Oryzias latipes: one gene and its partners. The protein of the gene in region 4 purifies or fractionates together with the protein of the main gene of each other region. This does not show direct contact. Links are inferred from orthologs where the notes say so. Each region holds a gene or a part of one and is shown on either strand. Other genes may lie near its edges. The genes, in order: gtf2f1, eftud2, snw1, hnrnpu, rpl18, dap3 and hnrnpa3.

What was found.
Region 1: the proteins of hnrnpu (region 4) and gtf2f1 purify together in Homo sapiens (affinity purification with western blotting; 3 studies listed by BioGRID, with this or other methods). This does not show direct contact. The link is inferred for Oryzias latipes from reciprocal best matches to the Homo sapiens genes HNRNPU and GTF2F1.
Region 2: the proteins of hnrnpu (region 4) and eftud2 fractionate together in Homo sapiens (co-fractionation; 3 studies listed by BioGRID, with this or other methods). This does not show direct contact. The link is inferred for Oryzias latipes from reciprocal best matches to the Homo sapiens genes HNRNPU and EFTUD2.
Region 3: the proteins of hnrnpu (region 4) and snw1 purify together in Homo sapiens (affinity purification with mass spectrometry; 3 studies listed by BioGRID and IntAct, with this or other methods). This does not show direct contact. The link is inferred for Oryzias latipes from reciprocal best matches to the Homo sapiens genes HNRNPU and SNW1.
Region 5: the proteins of hnrnpu (region 4) and rpl18 fractionate together in Homo sapiens (co-fractionation; 3 studies listed by BioGRID and IntAct, with this or other methods). This does not show direct contact. The link is inferred for Oryzias latipes from reciprocal best matches to the Homo sapiens genes HNRNPU and RPL18.
Region 6: the proteins of hnrnpu (region 4) and dap3 purify together in Homo sapiens (affinity purification with mass spectrometry; 3 studies listed by BioGRID and IntAct, with this or other methods). This does not show direct contact. The link is inferred for Oryzias latipes from reciprocal best matches to the Homo sapiens genes HNRNPU and DAP3.
Region 7: the proteins of hnrnpu (region 4) and hnrnpa3 fractionate together in Homo sapiens (co-fractionation; 3 studies listed by BioGRID, with this or other methods). This does not show direct contact. The link is inferred for Oryzias latipes from reciprocal best matches to the Homo sapiens genes HNRNPU and HNRNPA3.

The regions. Positions count from the first base shown.
Region 1 is NC_019866.2:14,106,141-14,110,554, reverse strand, and holds the start of gtf2f1 (general transcription factor IIF subunit 1), read right to left. Parts: upstream 2,875-4,414; 5' UTR 2,608-2,874; intron 2,382-2,607; 5' UTR 2,337-2,381; coding exon 2,325-2,336; intron 2,024-2,324; coding exon 1,977-2,023; intron 1,798-1,976; coding exon 1,725-1,797; intron 1,385-1,724; coding exon 1,191-1,384; intron 875-1,190; coding exon 704-874; intron 633-703; coding exon 427-632; intron 315-426; coding exon 164-314; intron 1-163. UniProt on the Homo sapiens protein: TFIIF is a general transcription initiation factor that binds to RNA polymerase II and helps to recruit it to the initiation complex in collaboration with TFIIB. It promotes transcription elongation.
Region 2 is NC_019866.2:5,482,053-5,485,716, reverse strand, and holds part of eftud2 (116 kDa U5 small nuclear ribonucleoprotein component), read left to right. Parts: coding exon 1-132; intron 133-218; coding exon 219-330; intron 331-415; coding exon 416-556; intron 557-623; coding exon 624-725; intron 726-1,595; coding exon 1,596-1,678; intron 1,679-1,859; coding exon 1,860-1,946; intron 1,947-2,665; coding exon 2,666-2,792; intron 2,793-3,664. UniProt on the Homo sapiens protein: Required for pre-mRNA splicing as component of the spliceosome, including pre-catalytic, catalytic and post-catalytic spliceosomal complexes. Component of the U5 snRNP and the U4/U6-U5 tri-snRNP complex, a building block of the spliceosome.
Region 3 is NC_019882.2:3,678,767-3,683,153, reverse strand, and holds the start of snw1 (SNW domain-containing protein 1), read left to right. Parts: upstream 1-1,546; 5' UTR 1,547-1,659; coding exon 1,660-1,673; intron 1,674-2,095; coding exon 2,096-2,249; intron 2,250-2,323; coding exon 2,324-2,485; intron 2,486-3,501; coding exon 3,502-3,597; intron 3,598-3,743; coding exon 3,744-3,850; intron 3,851-4,387. UniProt on the Homo sapiens protein: Involved in pre-mRNA splicing as component of the spliceosome. As a component of the minor spliceosome, involved in the splicing of U12-type introns in pre-mRNAs.
Region 4 is NC_019882.2:13,245,067-13,249,163, reverse strand, and holds the start of hnrnpu (heterogeneous nuclear ribonucleoprotein U), read left to right. Parts: upstream 1-1,285; 5' UTR 1,286-1,447; coding exon 1,448-1,880; intron 1,881-2,984; coding exon 2,985-3,099; intron 3,100-4,097. UniProt on the Homo sapiens protein: DNA- and RNA-binding protein involved in several cellular processes such as nuclear chromatin organization, telomere-length regulation, transcription, mRNA alternative splicing and stability, Xist-mediated transcriptional silencing and mitotic cell progression.
Region 5 is NC_019874.2:19,290,543-19,294,833, forward strand, and holds the start of rpl18 (60S ribosomal protein L18), read left to right. Parts: upstream 1-1,375; 5' UTR 1,376-1,396; coding exon 1,397-1,474; intron 1,475-2,054; coding exon 2,055-2,141; intron 2,142-2,569; coding exon 2,570-2,677; intron 2,678-3,242; coding exon 3,243-3,573; intron 3,574-3,934; coding exon 3,935-4,004; intron 4,005-4,291. Other genes in the region: mpv17-like protein, read left to right, coding at 365-475.
Region 6 is NC_019874.2:18,822,605-18,826,294, reverse strand, and holds the end of dap3 (28S ribosomal protein S29, mitochondrial), read right to left. Parts: intron 3,198-3,690; coding exon 3,117-3,197; intron 2,558-3,116; coding exon 2,393-2,557; intron 2,295-2,392; coding exon 2,235-2,294; intron 1,638-2,234; coding exon 1,548-1,637; intron 935-1,547; coding exon 817-934; intron 738-816; coding exon 652-737; 3' UTR 502-651; downstream 1-501. UniProt on the Homo sapiens protein: As a component of the mitochondrial small ribosomal subunit, it plays a role in the translation of mitochondrial mRNAs. Involved in mediating interferon-gamma-induced cell death. Displays GTPase activity in vitro.
Region 7 is NC_019879.2:22,672,606-22,676,066, reverse strand, and holds part of hnrnpa3 (heterogeneous nuclear ribonucleoprotein A3), read right to left. Parts: coding exon 3,369-3,461; intron 3,281-3,368; coding exon 3,164-3,280; intron 1,788-3,163; coding exon 1,723-1,787; 3' UTR 1,708-1,722; intron 1,607-1,707; exon of another isoform or gene 288-1,606; 3' UTR 1-287. UniProt on the Homo sapiens protein: Plays a role in cytoplasmic trafficking of RNA. Binds to the cis-acting response element, A2RE. May be involved in pre-mRNA splicing.

The DNA of each region.
Region 1 (4,414 bases), on a different chromosome or scaffold from region 4:
CTAAAAAGGAAACAAATGATCTAAAAGTGTCACGCATTTAGCTTTAGTTTGAATTCAAAGAACGTAGAAAATCAAAAATGCAGACTTGTTCTTCTAAAAAGACCAAATAAAAACATGTTCTTTCTTTAATATGTATATGTGGTAAATACGCTGAGGAGCCCACCTGCTTTCATCTGACATATAATCCACCTCTAGACCCTCATAGTCTCCATCATCGCTGTCTTCCAGGGCATCCTTCTCATTGCTCTTTTGTTTCTTTTTCTTTGCTTTCCCTTTGGCTTTGTCTTTCTTTGCCTTTGCTTTGTTTTCTCCATCTGCAAACGAAGAAGAGACGGAAGCTGCAGGTGAGGAAAATGAGCTGACAGACGTTTGGAGGAAGGGGCTGAGCGCCCTGACAGTTCTGGAGCCTGCTGCATGGATCCTTACCATCTCCCATGCTGTTGTCGCTGTCGTCGCTGCTCATCTCCAGGTCTTCATCCAGATCATGAATTCGCAAATCTCCACCCTTCCCGCCCCCTTTCTTTTTCTTCTTTCCGGGTTTGTCGGCGTCATCGTCATCCTCCTCGCCCCGCTCCTGTTCCCGGAGGCGTCTCTGAAGCATGATGCTGAAGTGATTCACCACCTTGTTCCGCCTGGACAAAGAAGGAAATGACTTTTAAAACACAAAAGGCATTCTCCAAGTCCAGCTTGCTGCTCTGCTAACCTGCCCCACTCCTCCTCAGCTTCCTCTGCAGTCAGAGTTCGGTGCTTCGCCACCGGCGTGAAGTTGTACCAGCCGTGAACGGGGAAAGCCTCGAAGGCTCCATCAGGACACTGCGTAAAGATGTAGTAGGATGCATTTTCTGTCACGCCGCCCTTCTTTATACCTTTGAACCTGATGCAGAAAGACAAATATTATAGCCAGACTGAAGATTGTAGAACTGGAATCATAGGAGAATCTTGCTGCAATAAACATTTTAGGAAAAATAAAAAACACACCAACAGATTTTGTTAAAAATTGGTGAGGATTACACCAAATCTTACTCAGTACGAAGACGTATTTGCTCATTTTCTACAACGGTTAAATAAATATGGTTTATTGATTTTCTTTATTTGAAGAAAAAAAAGTCATAACTTCAAGAAAGCCTGCAGGTAAATTAAAAAAAAAAAATGTACTTAAGTTTCAAAAATAGAAACATTTATCGCTTTACCTTTTTCCTGCTTTTCCGTTGACCTTTAAAATCCACGGCTGATCCTCCACCTTGAACTCTCTGGTCACAATGCCATACTTCTTCCGCCGCGCTTCCTCGCGCTGCTTTTTGCCAAACTCGCTCCCTGCCCCTCCCTCTGGTAACTCCTCCTCGCCATATATTCGCCGAGCACTCAGGTCGCGTTCCATGCGAGCCTGGGGGAGTGACAAAGCAGGATATTTAACTTAATACCTTTTTTTTTTTTAGAACTTTTATCAAACAAGGGAAGTCCCATCGAGATTAGAAATCTCGTTTCCAAGGGAGACCTGGCCAAGAGGCACCACATTTCAATACAAAAAATACATTTAAAAAAACATCATTAGTACCACATATGTCATAAAACGCAGTTGCTTTATTAATCCGTACTCCCTTGTATTTTGTCACAAATTTCTGAATTCCTAAGGATGTTTTAAGAGATCTTATTGTTTTTAATTATAACCAAATTTAAAATATAGATTTACTTTACTGGAGCAAAAAAGAAGACATGAAGCCCACCTGTGTCCAGGCCGAACAGTTGACTTTGTCTCCAGAATTAAAAGCCATGATGTTGTACTTCTTGCTTGTATTTCTATGGGGCAAGAAAATAAATAAAAAAATAAAAAGAGTTGTTTTTGCAAGGCGGAGTCAAGTAACACGTTGACAAATTTAGGGCAGAATGATGCAAAACATTACTATTTCAAAGGATAACGGTGTCATTTCTGTGTTATGGTCAACATTACTAACACATTACTGCTTTCATTTACTCACTTGGGGACTCTCACTGTGTATTCTGTAGTCGAAGCACTGCTGCCCCCCTGGAAGATGGTAAACAAACAAACAAACAAACAAATAATGTGGAATTTCTATTAAAAAAAGGTTTTGCTATAAGATCAGCGACCTTCTGATTGAATGAGTTTTTGCCTGCATGCAACTCAGGCTTTACAATTAGTCTCCACTGATAAATTCGTGTAACATTGTCTTCTGTAGCGCAGATTAATAAAGTTTTCTTTCCTGCTGTAACCGGAAGCTGCCGGGCTAAAATAGCTTAAATGAAACGAAAACATTTTACATGTTAATAATAATAAAAATAATCATTAAAAAAAAGTCAGAACTTACCAGAGATGTCATGATTGTTTATCAACAACTTCTGGATTTGCCAACACTTCACTGGAGCTATTAAGGGTTTACAGAAAAAGAAAGGACATTTTAGCAGGTATTTCACTAATGTTTAGTGCAACATGATCATGTCGGCCATTTTCATAATGTGTAAAAATATGATTACGTTTATTACAAAACTAGTTTTATAGACGGGTTAGAAAAAAACAAATGTTCGAAAGCAAACAATCACCGAAAACTGGTTTTATTGTGAAAGAAAATAACAATGAATGCTGAGTCTCACCAACCCGGTCGTAGAGATTTCAATGGTTAGCTCTGATTAGATCATTAGATCTCCAGCACGATAAACGAGCTCATATGGTCGTTTTAGTCCAACTTCAGACCGAGTGAAGATGCATAAAAGGAAAATGAAATACAAAAATAGTGTTGTTGTTTTTTTTAAAAGAAAAAGCCCCGCATCTCCGAGAGTAAAACACTACTACTGGTGTACCGGTGAGGTGCGCGTTGTTGCAGCGTAATCGTTCCGTCACTTTTTACGGTCGACAGGAAACCTTGGCACGTCACAAATAGTTCCTATTGAAAATGCAGACAGTAACTGGAATGAAAGAAAAAAAAATCAAACTAATAAGTAAAAACAGACTTACCAACAAAGAAAAACATATAAATTAAATTTGTTTCCCTGAAATGTAGTTTAAAATTTATAAAAACTTTATTAAAAAAGTAAAACATTATTTAAAAAAGTAATTAAATTAATTGTTTCCTTTAAAAAATAATGATTAGGCTGTGAACACAGTGTTAAGAGCCGATTATGCTTGAGTGCACCTGAATGTAAGGAAAGGAAAGTGTAAATGCCATTCACAATTTTTACAATTTGACAATTAATCTGTGATCATGGCCGGCCCTCCCTATACGCGAATTACGCAGCCGCGTAGGGCCCCCACATCACCAGGGCCCCGAAGTGGCGAAAAAATAAAATAAAAAAAAGACCCAAATCTGGCAACCTATTTCATAGCTGTGAATGTTGTGCAAAAGAAAGTTGGCTGCACTTTAATGATCCCCCTTGTCAACAAACCTGAACCAATCTGGCAACCCAAATAATGACGTTACGCCACTCTCAGCAACGATTGGCCAACATCACTGCATCTGAGCCTGGCACAGTGTGCATTTACGAGCGCATTTTGTTTCAATAAAGTTGAGAAAAGAAAAAAAAATAGCTCATTTTGTCACGCTGATCAAAGCGACAACAAGAGCACTTCATGCCAAAGAGACTTTATCCATCAGGAGCTGAAAAAAGATGAACAACTTCAGCATCAATCACAAGGTAAGTTTGGAGGATGATGGGGCCATATTTTTTACATTATCCAGTATTTCTGTGCATTCGCGATTTAAAATACTAATTGATCCGAAGTTCGGTAAAGTTAGAAAGACAGGTGAAGTTTGCACATAAACGACCCCGTTTGTTGTAATTTCCAATGGAAAACTCTAAAATAATTCTGATACCCAAGTTTCCTGGATGAGGTCAGACAGGACCTTCCAAAACGGCGAAGAGAAGATTAAATAACGACAACGGTGATGGCTGATAAATGTTTAACTCACGTTATTGTATTGTTTAATTGTTTTGCTAACACATATTTAGTGCGTTCTGCATTTTCCGGTTTACGTCAGTATAGAAACTGCTGTTTATCTGTTATAGACAGTCTGGTAGTCTGACTTTTTCAACAATGTGTCTTAAAATCTTGCATTGGCATGGAATATGGAGAATCAAAACTGCCAAATACAAGTAGGAAATAAAGGTTCTAATTTATTAATGACAAATAAAATAAATGTACTCATTTTAAAATTATGAACATACAAAATAATAGAATAAGAAGTGTATAAATGCTTATATTTCCATTTATACTCAAATTATTATTCACATTTATTATTTATAAATAGGTACATTTCTTTCTCATTTGTATTTCGCAGTTTTGGTTCTACATAATGAGGATGTTTTGCACAGTTCCGTGTCAGCCAACATTTTCTTCTGCTCTCAAAAAGTATCAAAAAGTATTGGAGGAGGTGCAGCATCCACATCCCCTCATGTGGCATGT
Region 2 (3,664 bases), on a different chromosome or scaffold from region 4:
ATTCGGGCGTGTTCTGAGTGGTACCATTCAGGCAGGTCAGCCCGTTAAAGTTTTGGGGGAGAACTATTCTCTGGAGGATGAGGAGGACTCTTCCGTCTGCACCGTCGGCCGCCTCTGGATCTCTGTGGCCAGGTTTGCTTCCACGTTTACTGAATTTTGTTTGGAAATCCGCAACCTGAGTGTTGCGTAAGAAATGGTAACGTCTGACACCTTTACAGGTACCAAATTGAGGTGAATCGAGTGCCAGCAGGAAACTGGGTGCTTATCGAAGGCTGTGACCAGCCGATCGTGAAGACGGCCACAATCACAGAACCCAGAGGGAACGAAGAGGTGAGAGGTCAACAGAAAATATCACTGTGGGTCTTCAAAGGTTTCAGCCATATCAAGTTTTTGCTGATTTACCTCCCTCTGCCAGGCTCAAATCTTCAGGCCATTAAAGTTCAACACAGCATCGGTTATCAAGATCGCAGTGGAGCCGGTGAACCCGTCAGAGCTGCCGAAAATGTTGGACGGCCTGAGGAAGGTCAACAAGAGCTACCCTTCCCTGACCACAAAGGTGAGTCTGACATGTTTTTGGTTCATTCGCTGCTGAACAGCTAAAACACCACCTGGTTGTGTTCCAGGTGGAAGAGTCTGGAGAGCATGTTATCCTAGGAACTGGAGAGCTGTACCTGGACTGTGTGATGCACGACCTGAGGAAGATGTACTCTGAGATCGACATTAAAGTAAGGAAATTAACACCTGCTTTAAACTTTGTTAACTCTTTAAAGACCTACTCTGATGAAAACTGTGTTTTTAACACGTTCTTGTGGCATTTTTCTGACGATGAAGGACATATGTAAAGCAAATGAAGCTCAAAATTCAATTTTTGGGTATTTTCTTCAAATCGTTAATCAGGAAGATACGAAAAAATGCTGTTTGAAAAAGATGGTAATCACTGGGCAAAATTCACTGGGCAAAATTCACTGGGCGGGCCACAAGCTCTGCTCCATTCTGATGCATCCACTTGCCAAATAGATTCATTTAGGTCTTCATTTTCCGGGTTGGCATAAGGCTTAAAACTGTACGGCTGGATAGTTCCAATTTTGTCAACTACTGCCGCTCTGCAGAAACTATGTTCCAGAAAACGACAGGTTTTTTTATTTGGGCTAAAAACGTCACAATCATGATTAAAAAACCACTGCAAATGCTTTTAAAAAAAGATAAAAAAAAGATGAGCGGATTTGGACTCTAACACTAGAGATGTCACTTAAACAACACACACTCGTTGACATACCAGAACTTGCCAATCTACGAGTGTCAACTGATTCCGGTGCGTAGAAAAGCGGCGTTTCCCATCGCCTTTGTGGAGTTGTAACGTAAAGTGTTGCATATTGATGCAAGGCTGCTTATCTTCGCTTCAGAATTCTCTAAATTTCCGTTAATTGCGGTCGAAGAGTTACAGTGGTCTAAGGAATGTCAGTACTGGAGTTAAAGCTCGGATGTGAAAGGCTTAAGAACTCCAGAAGTAAACTAGCTGGAAAAAGTCTGAAGGATGTAATGCTGTTGTGTTAATGTTGTGGAACAACTTGTACATCTGCTGTGTTTGCTCACAGGTTGCAGACCCGGTCGTCACGTTCTGTGAAACCGTTGTGGAGACATCGTCTCTGAAGTGCTTTGCCGAGACGCCAAACAAAAAGTATGGCTCAACATGACATGTTTATATTCAGCTCTGTTCCGGGCTCGTTTGAAGCGTTCATTTGTGTGTTGGAGCGCTTAGTCTGGACTCCTCTCGCTGTCCGAAGTCTTCGTCTCTCTGTCCTTCCCCCTGGCTCCGAGCCTCTGCAGGCTGAGTGACATCTGTGTGATGTGATTGACAGGAACAAGATCACCATGATTGCAGAGCCCTTGGAGAAGGGACTCGCGGAGGACATCGAGAACGAAGTGGTGCAGATCACGTGGAACAGGTAGGAATGTGAAGACGCCTCCATCAGTCACTTCTTAATTAAACACAAGCCACATAATGTGCCTTTATGGTAAATTTGCCTGTTACTTTGATGTCAGCACATTCATTTATCCATCATTTCCCTTTTGCTGGGTTAAATAAGATTTGTCTCTTTAATTAAATTTAGTCATGGAAGAAGGTAGAGTTAAAAGGCTTTTTCAATGGACTAATTATTGGATGTGGACATTGCTCTCAGATCTGTAGGTCTGTACTTTCTGATGAGTCTCATTTGGAAATGGCACATGGAGGTGACAGCCATATTTTTATTCATTAAATCAATTATCAAAGTAATCATGAGTTTCTAAATTAATTTCTGCAGAAGTGCAGGAAAGGGAAAGCCCTCCAACGTGTCATGAAAAATCTGTCCTTATGAAAACTCACCTTGGCATATTGATCAGCCCCTCCCCTCGGTAATTGAATTATGCACTAAGAGCCTGCATGAATTTCCCATCCCTCTTGCATGCTTGGATGCTGCAGACAGGCTTCCTGTCTGAGAGGCCATCTGGACCCAGCAGGACCAACCTGCAGCAGCAGGGCTACAGGAGCGACACACTTCACACACCACCCCTTCTCTCCCATTAACCCCTCTGCCCCTCCATTCAGCCAATCTCCTTAATGTTCCAGCTTGCACACTGTGCACGTCTCCTCCCAACGAGCGTTTGTACTGTTTCTTCGCCACAGGAAAAAGCTGGGGGAGTTTTTCCAGACAAAGTACGACTGGGATCTGCTGGCTGCAAGGTCCATCTGGGCCTTTGGACCGGACACAACAGGACCCAACATTCTCGTGGACGACACGCTGCCGTCAGAGGTACGACGCCCGCTGGCTGCTGGTTTGAACTGCAGGTTCTATCTGATCCAAGAGCAGCAACAAATGTCTTTTTTTTTATCTGAGCAAATCTGTTTTTAACCCTTAATCAGTGGTGTGCAGCCTTTTCCAGGCCATGGCACAGTTTTGCCGTCTCATATAATATTTTCACGTATCGGTCTTTTAAAGCTCCAGTTTTCTTAACCTTTGAGGGTGAAAATCTATCTACAGCTGATTTAAAAATTAAATTAGATTTAAAATGTGATGCTGTAGCCTTCAACCTCATCCGGCTTTTAAGGTGCAAGGGATAAATGCAAGAATAAAAGAAAAAACGGTCACTACAACTGGCAATTTTTTCTTAATATATACGTAAATGTGAATCCACCGTATTAGCAATTTTATTAGCATCTTTCTAACATTAGAAGACAGCCGTTTGGAGAATATTATGCAGGAAAGACAACTGGTTTTTGTCTGGTAAAGGCAGCTTGCTTTTATTTTGAAGTCATCTCCTTTCTGCCAAAAGAAACTTTCCAAATACGTTTTTTATTTTTTGACTTTGCTAGCTGGGGGGTTTCTATTTAGCGGTGGGGGCAGCGGCTTTAATAAAGTACTGCTACTTGACATGTGCCTAGAATCTGTTGGATGTGGTGGGGAGAGTCCAGCAGTTTTCAGTAAAACTTCCCTCAGAATAAAATTATAAATAAAACAGAAAATATGTAGGTTGGGTGTTTTTTTTTTTTTTTTCTTTCTTTCCAGTCTGATACCAGCTGTCCCACGAAACAGGAACGGTCCCCTGGCCTGGGGGCCGTTGCTCTAAACCATAAATTCATGTGAAGGTTTCCGATTTAAATCTACTTTAAAGAACAAATGAGAAC
Region 3 (4,387 bases), about 9.6 Mb from region 4:
TAGATTTGGGATTAAATTCGGCGGGATTTTGTGTCAGGATTTGAAATTGTTGGTTTCGAGGTAACCCTGATCCCTAATTTCAGAAAAAAATGTTCAAACTTTTCTGCTAAATTTCAGGGATACCTGTGCAAAAGTGTAAATCAACCCCATTGTTTCCTGATCGCATTTGTTTATAATTTCAAGTTATACCAAAGAGAACAAAATCCTGATAAATATGGGATCCAAAATGAAGAGGAACAAACTTAATGAAATCAAGAGACAACATTCGCTGGTGGGAAATAAAAATAAGGCAAAGAATTTCATTGATTTTGAGGATTCGTGTCTCTGCACGACAGCAGTGCAAACTGCTAGATATCTTAGAAAAACCTTATTGACAGATCACAGGCTTTAATATACATTTAGGCTTTAAGATTGACAGAAAAAGGATTTAGACTCGCAACATCTGCATGAAAGCAGGATATGAAATCACTTATCCATGAGTGGACTTAATAAGGTGGCTACCTGTTTTCTATTAGATCCTAAGGGATTTCCTTCTGTTTCAGCAAAAGTTCTCTGGCAGTCTGAGTCTCTTCCTGAATATGAATGATACTTTTTATTAAATATGAAAACAATCCAAAGGAAATGGAGGAAGTTTCCATCCACCAAAAAAAAATCCTCTTTTGAAGTAACAAAATATGTATCTGAAGTATCCTTATGTAATTTATAAAAACATTTATGCATTTTTTTTATTCAAGCATATCATTCTTTTATTCTGTCATCCTTGTTTTTTTATAAAATTATTATTTTTCTATTGTTGTTTTTTGTGTAATTTAAATGTTGCTTTAACTTCTTAACTTTACCTTTGACTCCCGTGTTTCTTCATTGGGAACCTGGCCTGCTGAGTCCAGGGCAGGGATCTGCAACCTGAGGCTATGGAGCCACATGTCCATCCATTGTGGCTCTAAGGTTTAAAAAAAAAAAGGGAATGATTTGAAGAAATTATAAATGTGAAGTTTGGAACAAAATAATAATAAGAGTTGTAGTGTACTGTCTGAGTGTTTTTTGTTTTGTTTTTTTCAAATAAGCCTTAAAGCTCTTTTTCTGATCCTCTGCGCCACAACACTGTGTAGTTGCTGTTCAGAGACAAAGTTCTTATAGTTTATAAGTTATGATGCAGCCAGAAGATCTTATTTGGTACAGGGTGTAATTTATTTTTAAAGGAATTTGGATAAGCGGCCGTCAGAAGTAAAGCAAGTCCAAATTTGTATGCATAGAAAATATAAAGGCTGTGTTATTTCAATTATTTTAAATATTTAATAACTTTATTTTATAGATGAATAGATGATTGGCCAATACAACATATAGGGTTTTTTAATAATTAGAAAAAAATGTGGGAAGCACAAGTGTATGTATAAAGTTTCGTGTTTTTTTCATTGGGTGGGTGAAAGCCTGTTTTTTGTGTGCATTGGCTTTTATTATGTAATTAACTTAACAAGTTAACATAACAAATAAAATGTTGTAAAACGAGTATGTACTTTTATTTTATTTTGTTTTTATCGAACTGGACATGGTTTGATATGTATTAGAGCTTAGAATTGTCAAACCTGGCAACCTTCTTCTCTTTTTCGCTTACGGCCTGTTCTTGCGCATGCTCACTTCATAGTTCAGGAAGAAAGGAAAATGTCTCTGACGAGGTAAGTCTCTAAGTGAGGCCTTTTGGCGAATAAGGCACAAAATGCGATCGGAGTTTCTGTCTGTGTTTGTTATACATTTATTTGGTTTAATATTAAACGTTAAATATTTAGTTAAACTTTAAACGTTTCGCTCTTTTCTGTGTTTATGATGTTAGCTAATGCTAGCTAGTGCTAACTAGTGAGACGGGGTTAGCATTAGCTTGTACCCTCAAACGACCGTTTCTGAAGTTAGCTTGTTTGTTTAATCTATTACTTAAACACATGTATTTGATATCGTGTTAAATAAACCTCTTTACCTGCATTAACGTTTCAGGTTTGCAGTTTTTGTTCCTGCTACTTTGACGTCGTTTCACGCTGATCCGCGTTTACAGCGACTTGCTAAGTTGTCTTTAAACTGCATTATGTGGACCTGTTTTGCACAGCTATTTACCGGCACCGACCCAGCTGTCTCAGGACCAGCTGGAAGCAGAAGAGCGGATTCGGACCCAGAAATCCTATTCCACTGCGCTGGTTGCGTCCCGTAAAGAACCCCCTCCTTACGGACACAGAAAAGGCTGGGTTCCGCGTGCATTTGAGGTGCACTTCAATGGATTACACATTGGTTCACTGCCTAGTTTCGCATTTCTACAAAACATTCTGGGTGTTCCTAGGACTTCGGAGATGGCGGGGCTTTTCCAGAGATTCACGTGGCCCAGTTTCCTCTGGAGATGGGCAGGAAGAAGAAGACCTCTAACGCCCTGGCAGTTCAAGTGGACGCAGAAGGGAAAATCAAATATGATGCCATTGCCAGACAAGGACAGGCTAAGGATAAGGTACTTGAGCTTTTCCTCTTTCTGGCAGTCAGTGAGGAGCTTTAAAACCCTATTCTTGCTCTTAGTGTCCACAAATACATGAGAGGTTCTGACTTCTTGGTTCTATTCCTATCAGACACGGCTGTGTTTTATTTGTATTTTTTCACATAAAAAAGAACCAACAAGTCAGTTAATAATACAAGACACGATGAACTTTATCAAACTAACATGAGAGGTTCATTATATGACTTGACAGATTCTAAATTGACCTCTAAAAGTCCAGCTGAAGAACCGATGTTCTGGATGACAGAATCTCCACAGAAATGTGGGACCTAATCTTAACTTTGGTAATACAGCTTGGTTTGGTTGTCATTTAAAAAAAATGCACACTATAGTGTTTTGTTTTTTGTAAAAACCATGTTTGATCCTTACATTTCTATTGGTGTTCATACACGACACTCCAGACGCATGTGGGAGGAGCTACCGCCAAACGGTTTTAGCCTCATTGCTGCAGACAGGGATGATGTTGAGATATCACGTTTTTCTACTTTGAAGAGCTCTACAAAAATGTCGATAGGCACGTCTCCATGTCTTGATCAATGAGATCATCCAGAGACTCCCACATCTGCTCCTGAAAGGGAAACCCAGTTTGACGACTTTCTGTTCTGCATTCAGGACCTTTTTTTGTGTGTCTTGATCCACTTATAACATCTTCAACGCATCCCGGTCCGAAGAGGAGTCCCTGATTGGTTGACGCGGCGCATCTTGTTTGCCGAAGTTCATATTTTTGAACTCTTGACGCACCGCAACAGCCAAAAAAGCGCGCGGCTGCCAGACTGGTGTGCAGCTCCAAAATCAAATCTGATTGCTTCTTTACGTTAAGCTAACATTAAAACTGGACACTCCTAATGCGCAAATGGCATTTAGTGTAAACGCAGCTTTACACAATCTATCCTATTCTATGAGTCTGCATGTTTTGCCATATTGGTAAATTTTGAGTGAGATTATTTCTATAATTTTCTTCTTGATTTTTGTAGGTGATTTACAGCAAGTACACTGATCTGCTCCCAAAAGAAGTTCTTAATGAAGACGCTTCAGGCCTTCAGAAGCCGGATGAGGAGGCTGTAGAAGAGGTAATTTGCTGCTCGGGCTCGTGCAGACATTCAGGATTCATTCATCCGATTTGGTGAAATTGTCTTTCAGCGTGCCCTTACTTATTGTTTTTAATTACTGTAAGCATGTGTAGTTTCTCATGGTTGGGGATGGATGCTCTTTGCAGTTGACTGAGAAGACTCGGGCCGCTCTACAAAAGCAGGTGTCGCAAAAGATTGCTGCAGCCATGCCTGTCCGGGCCGCCGACAAACTCGCTCCTGCACAATATATCAGGTAGCAATTTACCTGAATCATAAACAGTACTTCTATTTTAGATCGAGGACTTCTTTGTTGTTCCATCAGATCCTCTTGGATTTTGCAATCACACCAGTTCACATGAATTCAACCAATTCTTGCGACGTTTTTGCCCAATTACTTTTGCCAGCTGCTCTTATTTTAAACACTTTCTCCACCAATCAAGCGTAGAGGCTGAAGCATAAACATCTCTTGTCTAATCGAACATGCTTACTTCTGGAACTATATCAAACAACAAAAGGAAGTATTGAACAGTCGGTCTATCACAACATTTTGCAAATATTGAAGCTGGAAGTTTCCTTCAACGTTGCGTTGAAGCACCAGCGAGTCGATGATTGACGAGAACCTTTCCACCTGACGTTTGCAGAAAACGACTGAAAGTTGTGTAGAGAGTATATGGAGATGTTGATTTACCCTTCATGGGGTTAAATAAAATCCCCTTCAATAAACAACTTTTCAAATATTTCTCCTCCTACAGCTTTTGGTGGAGAACTATTATTATATAATATCACAGCT
Region 4 (4,097 bases):
TTTCTAGAACATAGTTTCTGCAGACCACCAGTAGTTTTTCAGAAATTCACCTCTGAGTTGTGGACAGAACTGATGAAGTCTTCCCTCATTTCCAGTCATCCATTTGTTACATGCTCTCCCACTAGCTTACAGCCCCTCGCAACCCAACCTAACGTCAGGTTGCAACAACAATGGCAGGCAATATTGGAGCTATCCAGCAGTACAGTTTTAAGCCAGATGCCAGCTCAGACGAGGAAAAGAAAGACGTACACAGATCTAGCCGTCTACAGGTTCATGCGTCAGAATGGAGCAGAGCAGGAAGCTTGTGGCCAGACAACTGTAGCATCAGAGCTACAAGCTTTTTTAGACTGGATTTCTTTTCTATTCCTGATTCACAACTTTGAATAAAGAAATACTCAGAACTGAATTTTCTTTATATATGTCCTCCATCATTAGAAAATTCATTCATCTTCCTCTGTTTATCCCTTTTGGAGTCACGGGGCTGCTGTAGCCTATCCCGGCCACTTATGGGCGAAGGCAGGGGACTCCCTGGACAGGTCGCCAGTCTGTCGCTGGGTCACACATTTCACACACCCACATTCACACCTATGGACAATTTAGAGTGACCTATGAAGCATGTTTTTGGATGGTGGGTGGAAGCTGGAGTCACCGGAGAAAACCCACACATGCACGGGGAGAACATGCAAACTCCACACAGAAAGGTCCCCCATTGATGTTCTGTTTCAGGTCCCCCAGCCGGACTTGAACCAGGGGCCTTCTTGCTGTGAGGCAAGAGCGCTAAACACTACACCACAGTGCAGCCCATCATCATTGGAAAATGCTTAAAGAAAATTTTAAAAACACATAAAAGAAAAGCATGCTTTTCAATGGAGTGGGTCTTTGATAAGAAAAGTTGGGAGATAAAATTCAATAATTCTGCTGCCATGCACAGTGGTGGAAGTGTAGTCATGAGGTGACTAAGTACCAACATTCCAAAGAGAGTTCATAATAAAAGACCAAAGCTGCAAAGGAAATTTCCATTGAAACTGGTATTAAATTTCAACATTAACTGTAGTTTGTCCCGTTTTGTTGCTGAGGCCCAAATTAAGCTGTCATTTAAAAAAGGAAACTTTTTTTCTCTTTTTTAGCAAATAAGTGGACAATATTTCTCTGCAATAATGTATAATGTGTTTGTAAGATAAGTATAGATGTTTTCTTGTGTGACAGTAGCAGATGGCAGGTTTACCAGAAGAGGGAAAAAACCCGCTGCGCCATTTATTCAGTGATTACGGTAGGAGAGAGGCCGTCCTCCTCCCCTCCCCACTCAACCGCCGTTTCAGCGCAGCTCTCCGCCGGCGAAGACTTCTCGGACAGCGGGTGCTATTTTGGCGCAGTTTCCTGTCTATAGGCGTTCAGTTATTTATTTATCGTCGATTTTTTAAAAACTGTTTGTACTCTTGCATTCAAAATGAGCACAATTAACGTGAAAAAGCTGAAAGTGAACGAGCTGAAAGACGAGCTGAAGAAGCGTAATCTGTCGGACAAGGGGCTGAAGGCCGAGCTGATGGACCGCCTGCAGGCCGCGCTCGACGAGGAGGCCCTGGTCGGGGATTCTTCTGCGGCCCAGGAGGGATCGGAGGAGGAAACCCTCGAACAGGCCGCCGAACAGGAGGTGATGGGAGAGGAAGAGGAAGGCGACGGCCCGATAGAAGAGAGCATGGAGGCTAATGAGGAAGAACAGGATAATGATAATGGGGACGAGGGCAATGGCGTAGCGGATGACGAAGACATGGGTGAGGGGGAAGAAGGCGACGAAGACGACGAGATGCTGAAGGGAGATGTGGACGACATGGAAAAAATTGACACGGAGGATGGTGAGCCCGGGGAGCAAGCTGCTGAGGGTGAGTCTGGTGAAGTGATGCTGAAAAGGTGGCTGGCTGAATGGACTGTGGCTGGCTGTTTTTTTTTTTCGGGGGCTGGTTGCGAAGATTTTAGCGCGTTACCAAGGAGCGTCCATGTTGAACACGGCGGCGTGATTCAAGCTAGTTAGCATTAGCAGCTAGCATCGGTCACCTCCTCTTAGTTAATCGTTTTGTAACTCTAATTACGCGTTACCATATTCTCTCAGGCACGTTTTAAAGAGTCGTTTCAAAAACACAATTTAAAGTTTAGTAATAGTTTTAATTAAATTTATATGCCGAGAACCGTCCTTTTTGGTTGACCTTTAAGCTTTTTCTTTCGATTTTGTAAGGTGTGTTAGCTTGTCAGCTAGCGCGATTTCCTTTGTTTCTGGTGTAGTGCTAACAAGCTAATTTAGCAGGGTTAGCCATTTCAGATTTTCCCTTCCTGTTAAGACATAAAGGGGGAATTTGCAAGCCACAAATCTTGTATCTTACTGTCATTTGTACAATCTCACTGGAATTACTTTTGAAACATTTCATTTCCCAGTCTGCACAAATAAAATAAACAGGAGAATATCTGCGATGGCTAACCCCAAATTTAAATAGTGGTAGCTCAGCTGGTTCTGCTGCTTTTGTTTAGCTAGTTTTTTTTGTCGTGGTTTTTCTGTTTAATAAAGGTTCCAAAATCATACAGTGTAACAAATGGGGAGGTAGTTTAAAACCATATCTAAATAGCCTTACTTGCATGATTTATTTATCCCCCTTAAACAGTAAACTTTCCCTTATAAGTTAATCAAACCCCATTGACAATGGTGTATTTTTCAGACTTTTATTTCGCCCCCACAAAGCATCACTCATTTATTTTATAATTTTTGGCCAGTTTATTGTTTAACTACCTGGTCTTAAAAGCTGTCATAACCATTTGATTGTACTGTATTTTCAGTGTAAGTATAGTGCTGCCTCTTTGAACATTCATATGAATTATGATGGACACAATGTAACTAATGAACGGGCTTTGTGGGCCAGAACCCCACTGCTAGTCCGACCTCTCTCTCTGTCTCAAAAAGGAGCACCTCATTCTATATCTTTGTTCTATTTTCAAAGGGGATGCGGACAAAGACACGAATGCTGATCAGAAGAATAAGAAGGGTGTTAAGAGACGCCGGGAGGAACATGGAAGGGGCTACTTTGAATTTATTGAAGAGAACAAATACAGCTGGTAAGGATGGGACAGAGCAAAATGGCCTTCAGCATCCCTGAAGCGCCATCCATAGCTTTGTTGGATTGTATTGGCTTTAAGTGCCAATGCACACATTTCTAGCAAGAGGAAAACCCTCTGTTTTTTTGTTTAAAATAAAAAGTATTCTCTTATTTAATAACTTTCACACATGTGTTTTCAGGGTCATCCCTGACTACCTAAAGAGCCTTACCATTTACTCTACAATGCCCACTCACATAGCGTCTTTAATGGACTGCATTCTGTAGCAGAAGTGCATCTGTGACTTTTCACATCTGTTCCTCATGCCACTTATTGTTTTGTTTCTTTTGGAAAAGCCCGTTGTGTCCTTAAGGTGAATGGAGGCTACTCTAAGCAAAACCCACAGAGGGAAATAGCAGGTGTACACTTTTTCAAAAGGAGGGGTGGGTTGAGGAAAGTAGCCGAGGGGTCTGAAAGAAAGTAGCACACAAGGATTTAGGAGATTTAAAGAAAAAAATCAAGATTATTGGAGCGTCCACGGAGGAGCTTCGGTAGTGATCGTCCATGTTTTTTCGGAGTGTTCTGCCTTTTTGTTGTTGTTTTCTCTCTATCACACTCTTGTTGCTGTTTCTGTATCATGTTTGTGTAAAATGTCATGTTGTGTGCGTTTGGAAGAGTTTTTATACCCCGCGTTCTGTGACCTCATGCATGGCTTGCAAGGGAGTTCCAGTGTGAGTGTGAACATGAACTTACTTTTTTTGGTCACGTGTGTTGTTTTCATTGCACTACCTGGACGCTGAAGATCGATGGGCACAGCATCAAAAATGTTGGCTGTTTTATTTATTTTTAAATTGTGATCACTTATTTCTGGTTGTGTTAATCCAGGAAAGTCACTTCCTGCTTCTCCAAATTGTCCACTTGACGTTTTTAGGGATTTATCAGTTTAATCTTTGCCCATATTTTCCCTTCTAAACAACATAACCTGCTTTCAAAATAATCTAAAATAATTTTTAAGCTTT
Region 5 (4,291 bases), on a different chromosome or scaffold from region 4:
ACTGTGAGTGATTGAAAACAGAGTCAGATGTGAGGCATCCAGGAAGTGTGCCTGGGGGTTGCTGGGAGATGAAGTGCATTCAGTACTCTGGAGAGGGTTCCCGCCGGTGACCACAGGGAGAGACAGAGCTCTAACTTCTGACATTATATGTCAATCAAAATCTTTATTTTTGTAAAATGCAATGAAATACGGATAATAGCCCTTCTATAAAGAAGATAGCAGTCACCATTTAGTAAGAAAAGAATGATGATAAAATCAATTCTTGTTTTTTTCCACAAAATCCCTATTTTGATGGCCTGTAATTATAGAATATCATATGTAACTTCAATTTTTCATGACATTTTTTCCCTTTGTTTCACCTTAGGGCATCAACTTCGTATTCGTTCCTCCTGTGGCACGGACAGTCTTCCTAGGAGGTGTTGCTCTGACGTTCACAATCTTTCTTTGCCACTTCAAACAGCAGCAGAATCAGTGACCCGAACAAGCCACACAAACTCCTGATACAAGGTTTAGATCTGGTCCCTTTGATTGATCAGATCTCAAAAAAGAAAAAAAGGGGTTGATTTGTGTACAACATGAAATGTATTAAACTTTGTTGCATTTCTAAAAATGTAAAATTTCTGACTTTATTTAAAGTGTACAAAATTTCGTTTTTGAGCAATAAAGGAAGGTATAAAGCCCTCCACTATTAAACAAATCATAAATCCACAAAAGGTCTGGATTGATCATTTTGCATAAGAAGTTTTTTGTATAATATTTTCTCCCAACAACACAATACATGTTTAATAAAATGAAGTTAAATCACATGCCACGCCATCCTGGGGAAACCTATTAGCTTTGCCAATTTTATTGACATTTCCTTCGTTTTTAAGTAATAAAATAATTTGTTTATTCAATTCATAAAAACAATTAACGTCGTGGAAAAGAAACATGACCAACAGACAAATACAATTCTCTTTAATACTGACCATAAAATACTCTTTTCTGTTTAACTTTTTCTTCACTTTTTTGATTTTCCTTTTTGCTGAAAAAGCATGTGCATCTCTGTGAAGAACGTTGAACTGTCTGTATGTAAGAAAGTGCTGAAGAAATAAAGATGCATTGACTTTGCCACAGTTTGTTTAAATAAATAAAAAAATCTAACACTGATGTTGACCTTATTGCCAGAAGTTAGATGTGAAGTATAGAACAAAGATAAGTTCAATAAAAAGTTGTTCACATTAAAATGTGATAATTTATTAGATCAAATTGCTTTAATAAAAGTTCAGCAAAAGTTCAGCAAATATACAAGGATGCTCAATGTAATGATGAGTCCCGCCACTTGGGGCAGCATCAGCAATGACCTCAACTACTTTTTTGCAGGTTGGCAGGAAGCGCGTACTTTAGAACCAATCAGATGCTCGAGATTTCGGCCGCGTGTGTTATCGCGAGAACTTTGAACTTCCTTTTCCCTTTTCGCTCTGAATCCAAGATGGTAGGTACCTCAAGACAGATTGAATACCCCGGTATCCGCATTAATCCTTTGAATTCAGCCATCCTTTCTCCACAATAAAATCCAAAATACGTTTTGATAGAAAACAGTATTCCAGTTGAGTTACGATTTTTGATTTAACCGATCACAATGTGATTAGATAATCAATTGGTTAGCTATCGAACTACTCGTTGCTGTAACATTTTTTAAACGTTTGCGCTAAAAGGTAGTCTATACGCACACACAAAACTACAGTCTTTTCTAGTTTACTCTCTAGTCCGGTATAGTCCCTTTAGATTTGTACTGGTTGGTTAACTTAAAAGAAATTCTAATTTTTTTTTGTTGCTGTTAGCTTTAGTTAGCTGCTAAACGCGTTGACCGGTGTCTGTTTGCTGTATTGCAAACCTTGTGTGTATAGCTGTATAAATTGACGCAAGATCTGTTTTGACTGTGTTTATGTGTACTGATAAAACGCGAAATTGTTATTAAATGAAATTAACATACGTGCATTCTTACTTACGTATGTTTATACAACTAGTTGATTATGCTAAAGATGTATATTTTTTTTGTTTTTTTCCTGTAGGGCGTAGACATCAGACACAACAAGGACCGCAAGGTGCACAGGAAGGAGCCAAAGAGCCAGGATATCTACCTGAGGCTCCTGGTTAAGGTAAATAACGCTCTCACAGCATCTCCTTTCAGAAGTTGTCTCAGCTGCTAGGGTGGTTCTGTAATTTAGCTTCTCAGTATTGTTAAAACTTTCATAGTTTGTAGTAGTTCAAATTAAACATCTTCTGTGTTGTCCTCTCACACATCAACCACACTCATGTCAGCCTCTGAACCACATCTCTTCCTCTTGACCTTCTTAGCAGCGCAAACATGGCATCTGTTTCCCAACCTTTGAGCTAACTAGATTCCCTCCATATAACGGAAATAGTTTACATAAGCTGCTCCTCTGTATTTATTGATGATTCTGTCCATCCCCATCACTTCCACAGAGAACATCAGCATCTTTAGCTCTACCTTTACCTAAAACCCCTGCCTCCAGTTTTATCTGTTTTTAGTAATATAATGTGGATTTTTCTTTCTTTCTGACAGTTGTACAGGTTCTTGTCTCGCCGTACCAATGCTCCTTTCAACAAGGTGGTTCTGAAGAGGTTGTTCATGAGCAGGACCAACAGGCCTCCTATCGCAATCTCCCGTCTGGTCAGTCAGTGAGCCAGTTTACTTTTCCTGATCTCACAAAAGATCTAAGTTGTTGTTCTGTGCTGGGTTTATCAGGTGTTTTACTGAAGAACAAAAGTACCTACTTTGTACTTTTATCAATCAAGCTTATTTGTTTTACTTAATTTGTCTTTTTTTGTTTTACTGAATTTGTCTTTTTTTGTAGTAGTAGTGTCTAAATTCCATAAGTAAATTTTATTTTATATTTCACTGGTTACAACAGTCTAGGTACTGTATAAACGTTTGTTATATTTTTACCCACACTAAATGATTTTTAATCTAAATATGACATTAGGGAATAACTTCCTTTCACTTTTTAGCCTATAGTTCTGATGTCATAAGGTTGTTATAACGTTTGTGTTTTGCTGTTTAGCCTTCCCATTCCCAACAGAAGCACATTAACTTCAACGCTTTTAGGCTTGATTGAAAATAGTTTTTAAATGTACAGTCAAATTTTATGGTCACCTGATTTTAGTTTATGTGCCATGAGATGTTTAGTCACAAAATATAAGTAACAGCTCTTATTGGTCTATTGCTTCCACACTAGATTCGTAAAATGAAACTTCCTGGCCGTGATAATAAAATCGCTGTTGTCGTGGGAACAGTCACTGATGATGTCAGGATTCAGGAGATCCCCAAACTCAAGGCAAGTAGTCTGATGTTTCAATATATTTGTACCCTCACTTTTGTTTACCAGCTCACAGCTTTTATTCACAACCTTCTAAAATGGGGCCTTTTGTTTTCTGCCACACAGATCTGCGCTCTGAAAGTAACTGATGGTGCACGTCGCAGGATTCTTAAATCAGGGGGACAAGTGATGACCTTTGACCAGCTGGCTTTGGCCACTCCCAAAGGACACGGCACAGTGCTGCTGTCAGGTACATGAGGTTTTAATAATTTAAATAAAAACTTAATGTTATCAGAAAAGTAAAAAAAAAATAGAATTGGAAAATTCGTGTTGTTGTTTGCTATATTTTTGTTCTAATAGTTATTAGGGAAAACATTCACTATAGTTGGACCATTTTCACTCTTAAGCAGTATAAGATTTTTTCTTGTCAAAAGAACAAATGTTAGCGTTTGTGAGACAAATTAATGCCAATATCTGGTGCAAATGTTTACAATCAAGAGATTTTAGGAAGTTTGATTGAATCCATAGGAAATAGAGAGGCTGTTCTGAAAACTTAAGGGACAATGAGCTGTTATTGTGTGACTATAATAAAAATGCTGTTTGCTGTGCAGGACCCCGCAAAGCCAGAGAGGTTTACAGGCACTTTGGAAAGGCCACTGGAACCCCTCACAGCCACACCAAGTAAGTTGACCCCTAAATACTTTTTAGTCACTGAAGATTGATTTTCAGATCCTTTTTAAAAGCAGCTGATTATTCAGATATTGAATCTTTCACACACACCTCAAATCCATTATCTTAAAATGATCGTAAATCATAAGATCATATGAATCATAAATATGTAACTCTTCTAAATTATTTTTTTAAGAAGTGGATATATATTATCTGATAAATTTCTACTAAATATATTTTTTTTATTAAAAAGCTGGGCAATATTGGAGCGTTTGAATTGATCTGTAATTTAAACACGT
Region 6 (3,690 bases), on a different chromosome or scaffold from region 4:
ATATATATATATATATATATATATATATATATATATATATATATATATATATATATATATATATATATATATAATTTATTTTTTTATGCAACAAAAATAAAACTTAAGTAAAAAAAATTGTACTATGTATTTCTGTCAAATAGGAAGACATTTGTTGTCCCCTGAATACAAAGTAACATGTATGAAAACAAGGTTTATGCAGTAACTAATTAATAACTAAATATTTACACAGAATGAGAGTTCAGACAATGATTTGCCCTTTATAAATATATTGATAAAGTCAAACATTTTAAAAAATCCAAAATTAACTAAAAACCTTTATAAATGAACAGGGACGCAGTTTTTTTGTTTGTTTTTAAAAAGAAGCAGTGAAACAGACTATCATACACCTTTGCTCATTTGAGGCTAATGCAAATGTAAATTTTTGCTCTTTAACACTAAATATATTTTCGGTTAAGTCAAATTTTGACCGTTTACCTTCTTAATAAATCAAGCAAGACATTTTCCTTAAATATTTTATTAATAAACAAATGTAATGATTTATAAAACACAGTGACATAGATGTTGCATGAAGACATAGATGTCTGAATGCATATGCGTTTATACCCATACAGCGACATTTACATGTTTACTTCTGTGAAAAGCATGGCTTTATAAGAAGCCGCAGAGTCTGTCAAACATGGTTGGATTCCTGTTGCTCAGGAAGATGAGCTCTTTCTTCCCTTCCTCTGTTCGACCTGATGGAAACAAGGAAACCAAGACATGAAAATAAAATGACAAATAAATATTGCCATATTACCTTATTTCATCACTTACTCTGTGGATGCTGCAGCCAGTTACGCTCTGTATAGTAAAGGTAACAACTCTCAAACTCCTTCTCGCTGTAGTTGGGAACTGACAGAGGGATGAAGGGATCCATGCTGTCAAACCCCCTCTGGTGAGTAAAGCACAGCACGTTTAAGGGCCAAACACTGGACCTGCTGTAGCAAGACTGCAGTACCCAACATGCACTGATCAACAATTCAGCATCATTTAGAAGAACAGTATAGAGCACAACACATCCTTTCAGACAATTCAAGCAAGTGCAAAAACAGATATATCTAGAGTTCAGATGCACAGAAGAAAGAAATCAATAATGAATATATTAAATAGGAAGCTGTGCATTAGAGAGATTCAATTTAGAGTCAAGCCCACACATACTCTTGGGGGGGTTGACCTTGCTTTTAGTACGATGATATCATTGCAGTCAAGAGCAAAGTAAAAGAATGTGGTTGACAAGGATGGATTGACAGGTCCATTAAGTTAAGTGATGCTGTGCAGGAAGCACAACTCCTTACTTAATGAAAACAATCTCTTACAAAAGAAACAAATACTGGAGAGAAAAAAAGAATGTTTATGATTATTGACATGGTTTTGCTCTCAAACAACAAAGAGTATTTGATCTTTAATTTTCTGACTGCAGGTAAAAAAGAATTATGCTTTAGAAGCAATAAAGGATTTTTAAAAGCAGACAAACTGTTGGGCTTTAAAGGTAAATATGATCTAACCTCTCCCAGGAGCTCCTGAGGTAAGTAAGCAGACTTTGGAGTGTAAAGAGACCCCGTCTGAGACAGAGTGGTGATGATGGCCCCTCCAATCTGCGTGAAAGGACAGAAAAATTAACAAAAAACACACACACAAAAAAAGTACTCTTAAAGACCCACTATCATGGACATTGTGTTTTTTCAACATGTTCCTGTGGCATTTTTCTGATAATGGAAGACATATATAACGAATATTAAGCTTAAAATTGCTTTGCTGAGGTTTTTTTTTTAATTGTTGTCAATCTGGAGCAAGCAAACAAAAAAAGCTGTTTGAAAAAGAGCATATATGTTATGTAGAAAAGACACAGGGCAGGCCAAAGGCTCCCTGCTCCACTCCATTCTGATGCATCCCCTTGTAGACAAATCAATCCATGTCCGTCTCCGTTTTCCTCTTCTGTGCTGGTATCTGGCTCAAAACTGTAAGGAAGATATCTCCAATAATTTTCACCATTTTTGTTGCACCGTTAATGTTAAGTTGGGGCTGTCGCTGCCGCTCTGCAGAAACTATGTTCTAAAAAAACAACAAAGGTTTTGAGATTTAGCCCAAAAATGGATATCATAATTAAAAGACCACCAGGAACACTTTGAAAAAGCAAAAAAGATGATCAGAGTGGGGCTTTAAGCAACTTTTTGAAGCTGTGTTCTACTAACCCAGTCATTTTTTAACAACTTCCTCAGGTTATAGACCAGTGTGAGTTCTTCTGGATCCACCTGATATTAGGGAGAATAAATATATAACATCAGACTTTTTATCTTAACAAAAAACACTGTGTTCGATGCACAACAGCACTGAGAATGTGTTTTCTCACAGCGCTCTTATCCTCCTTCTTAATAGTAGACTTTCCCCAAAGGGCATTGACACCATCCACTGCCACAGCCAATCGGAAGTTGCTCTCGGGATGCCCGCTTTGCAGCCTAAGCTCCTTCATCACGGCTGCTACCACATCACTGCTGCTCTTCACACGGGATGTGCCCTGCAGCAAAACAAACACCAGCAGGGGGATCACTGTCAATTATGAAAGGGAAATCCAACAGCAGTGTCGGGAACATAACAAAAACAAACAAAAAAAAAAAAATCAGGAAAATTGAGAATTAGATTCAGGAAACAAAGTTTAAATTAGGAAAAGAGGAGCTTACTTGTGCCCTGATTAAAAATGTAGCCACCAAACACTTGAATTGATATATTCCAACATTCAACTGTTAGACATTTGAGAATTCCCATAATTCCAAAAGTTTTCTTTAGCTTTGCTGTGACACAAATCGTGAAGTTCAAATTCAAATATGTTTTATTTCAAATCAAAACAACAATTACATAAAATAAATCAATGCAAGACTTTGAAAATTAGATTTGAAAGGGGATTGGAAACCGCTTAAGCTTATAGGAAACCAATCCCCCACTCAACACCACTCATAACAGACACCAAAATGAAACATTTGACATTATAACGTTAACACACGACAAGACAAAGACAAACAAACATGCCCAAACGCTTTAGTTAAATGGGGAAAGTTGGTGAACATTTTTGCACCTACTTGATCCACAAGTTCCCCAAGTGGACGCCCCTCTTCTGTGCTTTCCCTCTTTGTCCACACGTAGCGCTGCTTAATTTTTATCTAAAAAGAACACAATCTTCAAAAACACTTTCAGAAATAGTTTTACCCTAGAACACTATCGCCGGGTGATTTTTACCCGCACAAAACTATTTACATGAATTTCAACATGCCGCGTGTCAAGAAGTCTGTGCCTTCACCAGGTAAGTCTCACAGGTCCCAGGAATGGGTGGACAAAGATTAAGTTTCTAGTATCGTTTTATTACTTTTTAGGAATATTTTGTTCTCAAATTCCTAGTTTTTCAGGAATTTAGAGCGTGTTTTTAGGAACTTCCTATGTTTTCAACCACAGTTGAAAATAAAAGAAAACCCCTCCAATTTATCATTTGATGTCATGTTTTGATCTATTTTTTATGACAAGTCCTCATGTTGGGTAAATTATATCAGGTAAAAATTCCCCAGCAAAAGTGATGGTGTAACTTTTTTTAGCGCAAGTGTTCTAGGGTTGAAACATTTCATCCCTACAAACAAAAAACACAATACAAAATGACACTTT
Region 7 (3,461 bases), on a different chromosome or scaffold from region 4:
TTCATATCTTCTTGGTCAGTTACCTTTGTACAGAATGTTTCTAAATCACCTTTGAAAATTGAAATTGAAAATTTGGTCATTCAAAGAACCTGAATGACGACTTAAGAACCCTCCCATTCTCACCTTAAGTCTATTTCCCTGTACGCCTTACCACACAGTACATAATCAACATTCAACCTTGAAAAATATTTACAAAAAAAAAAAAAAAAAGTCTTACCCATCCAGAACTTTCCAAGTTATCAGGTCTTTACAGATTTTCGGCAAGAAGAGAATGCCCAAATCCACATCTGTAAATCAAGCAAAGTGGTTACTCTTACCTGATCCATCTTCTCAAGTCAGCTTTTGTGAAATATTGGCTCCCTTTTCTTGTTCAATGTCTGACATCTAGTATTTGCAGGTTAAACTGCTGTATCTCACTAAACAGGATCTTCAGTGAGTCCAGGACCTAGTCTTTCTTGGCGAGAACCAGCTGCTGGAGTTTAGCTAGCCTTGGAAAAAGACAGATGCTCACTACCAGGCATGACACTGCAAACTTCCTTCCATGGCCGTTGCGCTCGATGCTGCCTTCTCCCTTCTCTCTCAAAATGCTGACTGGTCCACTGTGCTGGGGCTGAAGTCGTCCTGTCTGATTGTCATCCTCCACACTAGCGACGCTGAGGGCCAAACTGCAGGAGCTTGTGGTTCTCATACTCCTACCTTCTCAACACTGGCAAAGCTGCACTCGGGGCCCTTCCCTGGAACTATTCAAACCTCCCTTTTAAAATGGCGACGGTATCCGTGAAAGCACAGAATATTGCACATATGAACAGACACCATCATGTTTTTCATAACAATCCCAAATTTGGGACAAGTCAGAAAAGGCTGATATGCTAACCACAGTCACAATGAGCATGCATGCTTTTTTTCCGAACCAATGATGCACTGAATCTTGTGTTACTTTACTAAACAACTTTATTCAGTCGTTTCTTTCACTAACCAAAAATACGGGAACAATCTGGAATCTGTTTCAATGGAAGAAATGAGAAGTGCGGGATTCCCTTAGTTCTAATCTAAGCTGTTTATTTCTGTTGACACTGACACTATGAAAAAGTTACACACTGTGCTTTTACATACAAATCAATACACACTTGACACTTGCAATTCGGAAATAATAAATTAGGAGGGAAGAAACAACTACTTCTGGCTTTTGAAGGGCCTTTTATAACTATGCTATCTGACAGTTGCTAAGATCAAAAATGTATGTTTAACTGGTCATTATGATAAAACTAACCAATATAAAAAATTTAAACAAAAATATGTAGGACTTAAAAAAAGAAAGAAAAGAAAGAAAATTTACCCCTGATCCAATAGGCACAATACACACAATTCAGACACAGAAAGGAAAACTTCCTCATTAGGTTCACATCTAGGAGAAATAGGAAAGGACATCGTCTGCACTCATGTCTTGTTCATACAGTCCTCCTTCCATACACTTCTTGGATAAGCTGCAGTAATGTCTGACTTCTGTGTTCCTCTACTGCTTTCAGATGACTGCCTCAAAGTAACCTGCAGCTTTCCTGACAACTCCTTTGCTCACCTCCTCGCCTCTCCTGCTAAGAACTGAAGCCTGTTGAATGGATACAGGATAAGACAAATAGTTAATCTGCACTTTCATGGGCTCACTCTGAACTGTGCTTCGAGGCTGCTGCCAGACTGAACGCTACTTACCAAAACAACCAAGAATTAATACCGCCGTGAGCCATAACCACCGCCGCCGCCGCCACCGCCACTCCCAGAGCCATAACCACCTGCAATTTGGAGTGAAAAATATCTTTATTATTCCCTCAGGGGAAACTACACTGCTGAGACAAATTATATCAAAGGGGTACATAGAAATAAAACTGTCAGTAGCTGCAGTTACATGGACAAAAGTAATCGGAATAAATGCCTGATCAGAATAAGAATGTGTCATGTAAACACGCCGTTCGGAATACTCTGCACCGATCAGCCTCATTCGGATCAATATTTCCTTCCGATCGAGATAGGAGGGTTGTGCCGATTGTTGATTCAATCGTGGTGCATGTAAACAATTTATTCCGATTGTGGGTCACTACTGCTGGCTTTTCTGTCATGCGTAGATGGTGTGGCGCTCCAGAGGCTTTGGAGCGCTAACAGGACCGGCCGGCTGCTCCGCGGGAGCAAACCATGTCTCTACGCAGAGCAGCCGGACTCGTAGGTTTGTGCGGGTAGGGGAGGGTGCTTTGTTACGGTGTGCGCTCCGGAGAAAGCTTTGTAGTCCGTCCGGCTGCTCTGCATGAGCGAGCTGCTGGACTCAGGAGATACGTGTCTCCGAGCAGAGGAGCGGCTTTCAGAAGGTGTGTCAGCTGGCGGAAGCAGCTTTTTAAAGCAGAAATGCCGCTCCGAGCAGTCCTGAGAAACGAGCAAATAATCGCATGGATTTGTTTTTCCAATCATGTCCAGACAAAGTAAAGGCTGATGTCATTGCCACATATACACATTGCGGCATTGCCCGCATGGATTTTAAGTTCATGCACGGCCAAATGCTGTAGGCAGATAATAGATTAATCCTAACTCTTCTTCCGGGTTCGTGCAGCCAAGAATACAGCACTGGTCACATGAATTTAGAAAGCACTTAATAGTAATCATAACAATAACAAAAGCACACTTTGAAGATCATCTCGCTCTATGCTGTAGCTTTGTTTGTTTACAACAGAACTCGCTATTTCTTCTTCTACTGCGTTCTGGTATTTTAGAGGATCAAAAGTATGGTGTATGTAAACAGTGTGATAATCGGATAAAGTTTTTCTGGGACTATGTACACAGTTCAATTCTAACCTGATCTTTGATCCGATCAAAGACATTTTGCACATGTAACCGCAGACTAGGCAAATATGTATTTTAAGGAGCCACATATGTTATTAACTCAAAAAATCTATCATTAGTCAGAGGATTGAACCAGCTCAGTGTAATTATCCTGCTCCCCAATGTTAGTTTATGCTACTTTAAATCATGCTTTATTTGTTGCAGCACACAGTTAAACTGAAGCACTTTTTAAAGTGAAGTGTGGATCCTTATTATAAAAAGTCCTATTTTATTTGCATCTCAGGAAATTGTGTCAGTTGTTGTCATTGAAGACAATACCAAAAATATTGGAGCTTCTCACCACTATAGGGTCCACCAGAGTTCCTGCCACCAAAGTTACCTCCTTTCATGGGCCCATAGTTCGACTGCTGCCCCCCATAATTTCCAAAGTCATTGTAATTTCCACCACCTCCATAACCTAAAAATCCAATGCAAACATTTATTATAAACAAACAAAACATATCAAGTTTCATATGTTCATGACTTGGAAATAAGAGCATATTTACCTCCACTATTGCCTCCATAACCTCCGTCACAGTTGCCACCAAATCCTCCACCCTGGTTGCCATATCCTGGACCACCTCCCCCATAGCCGCCGC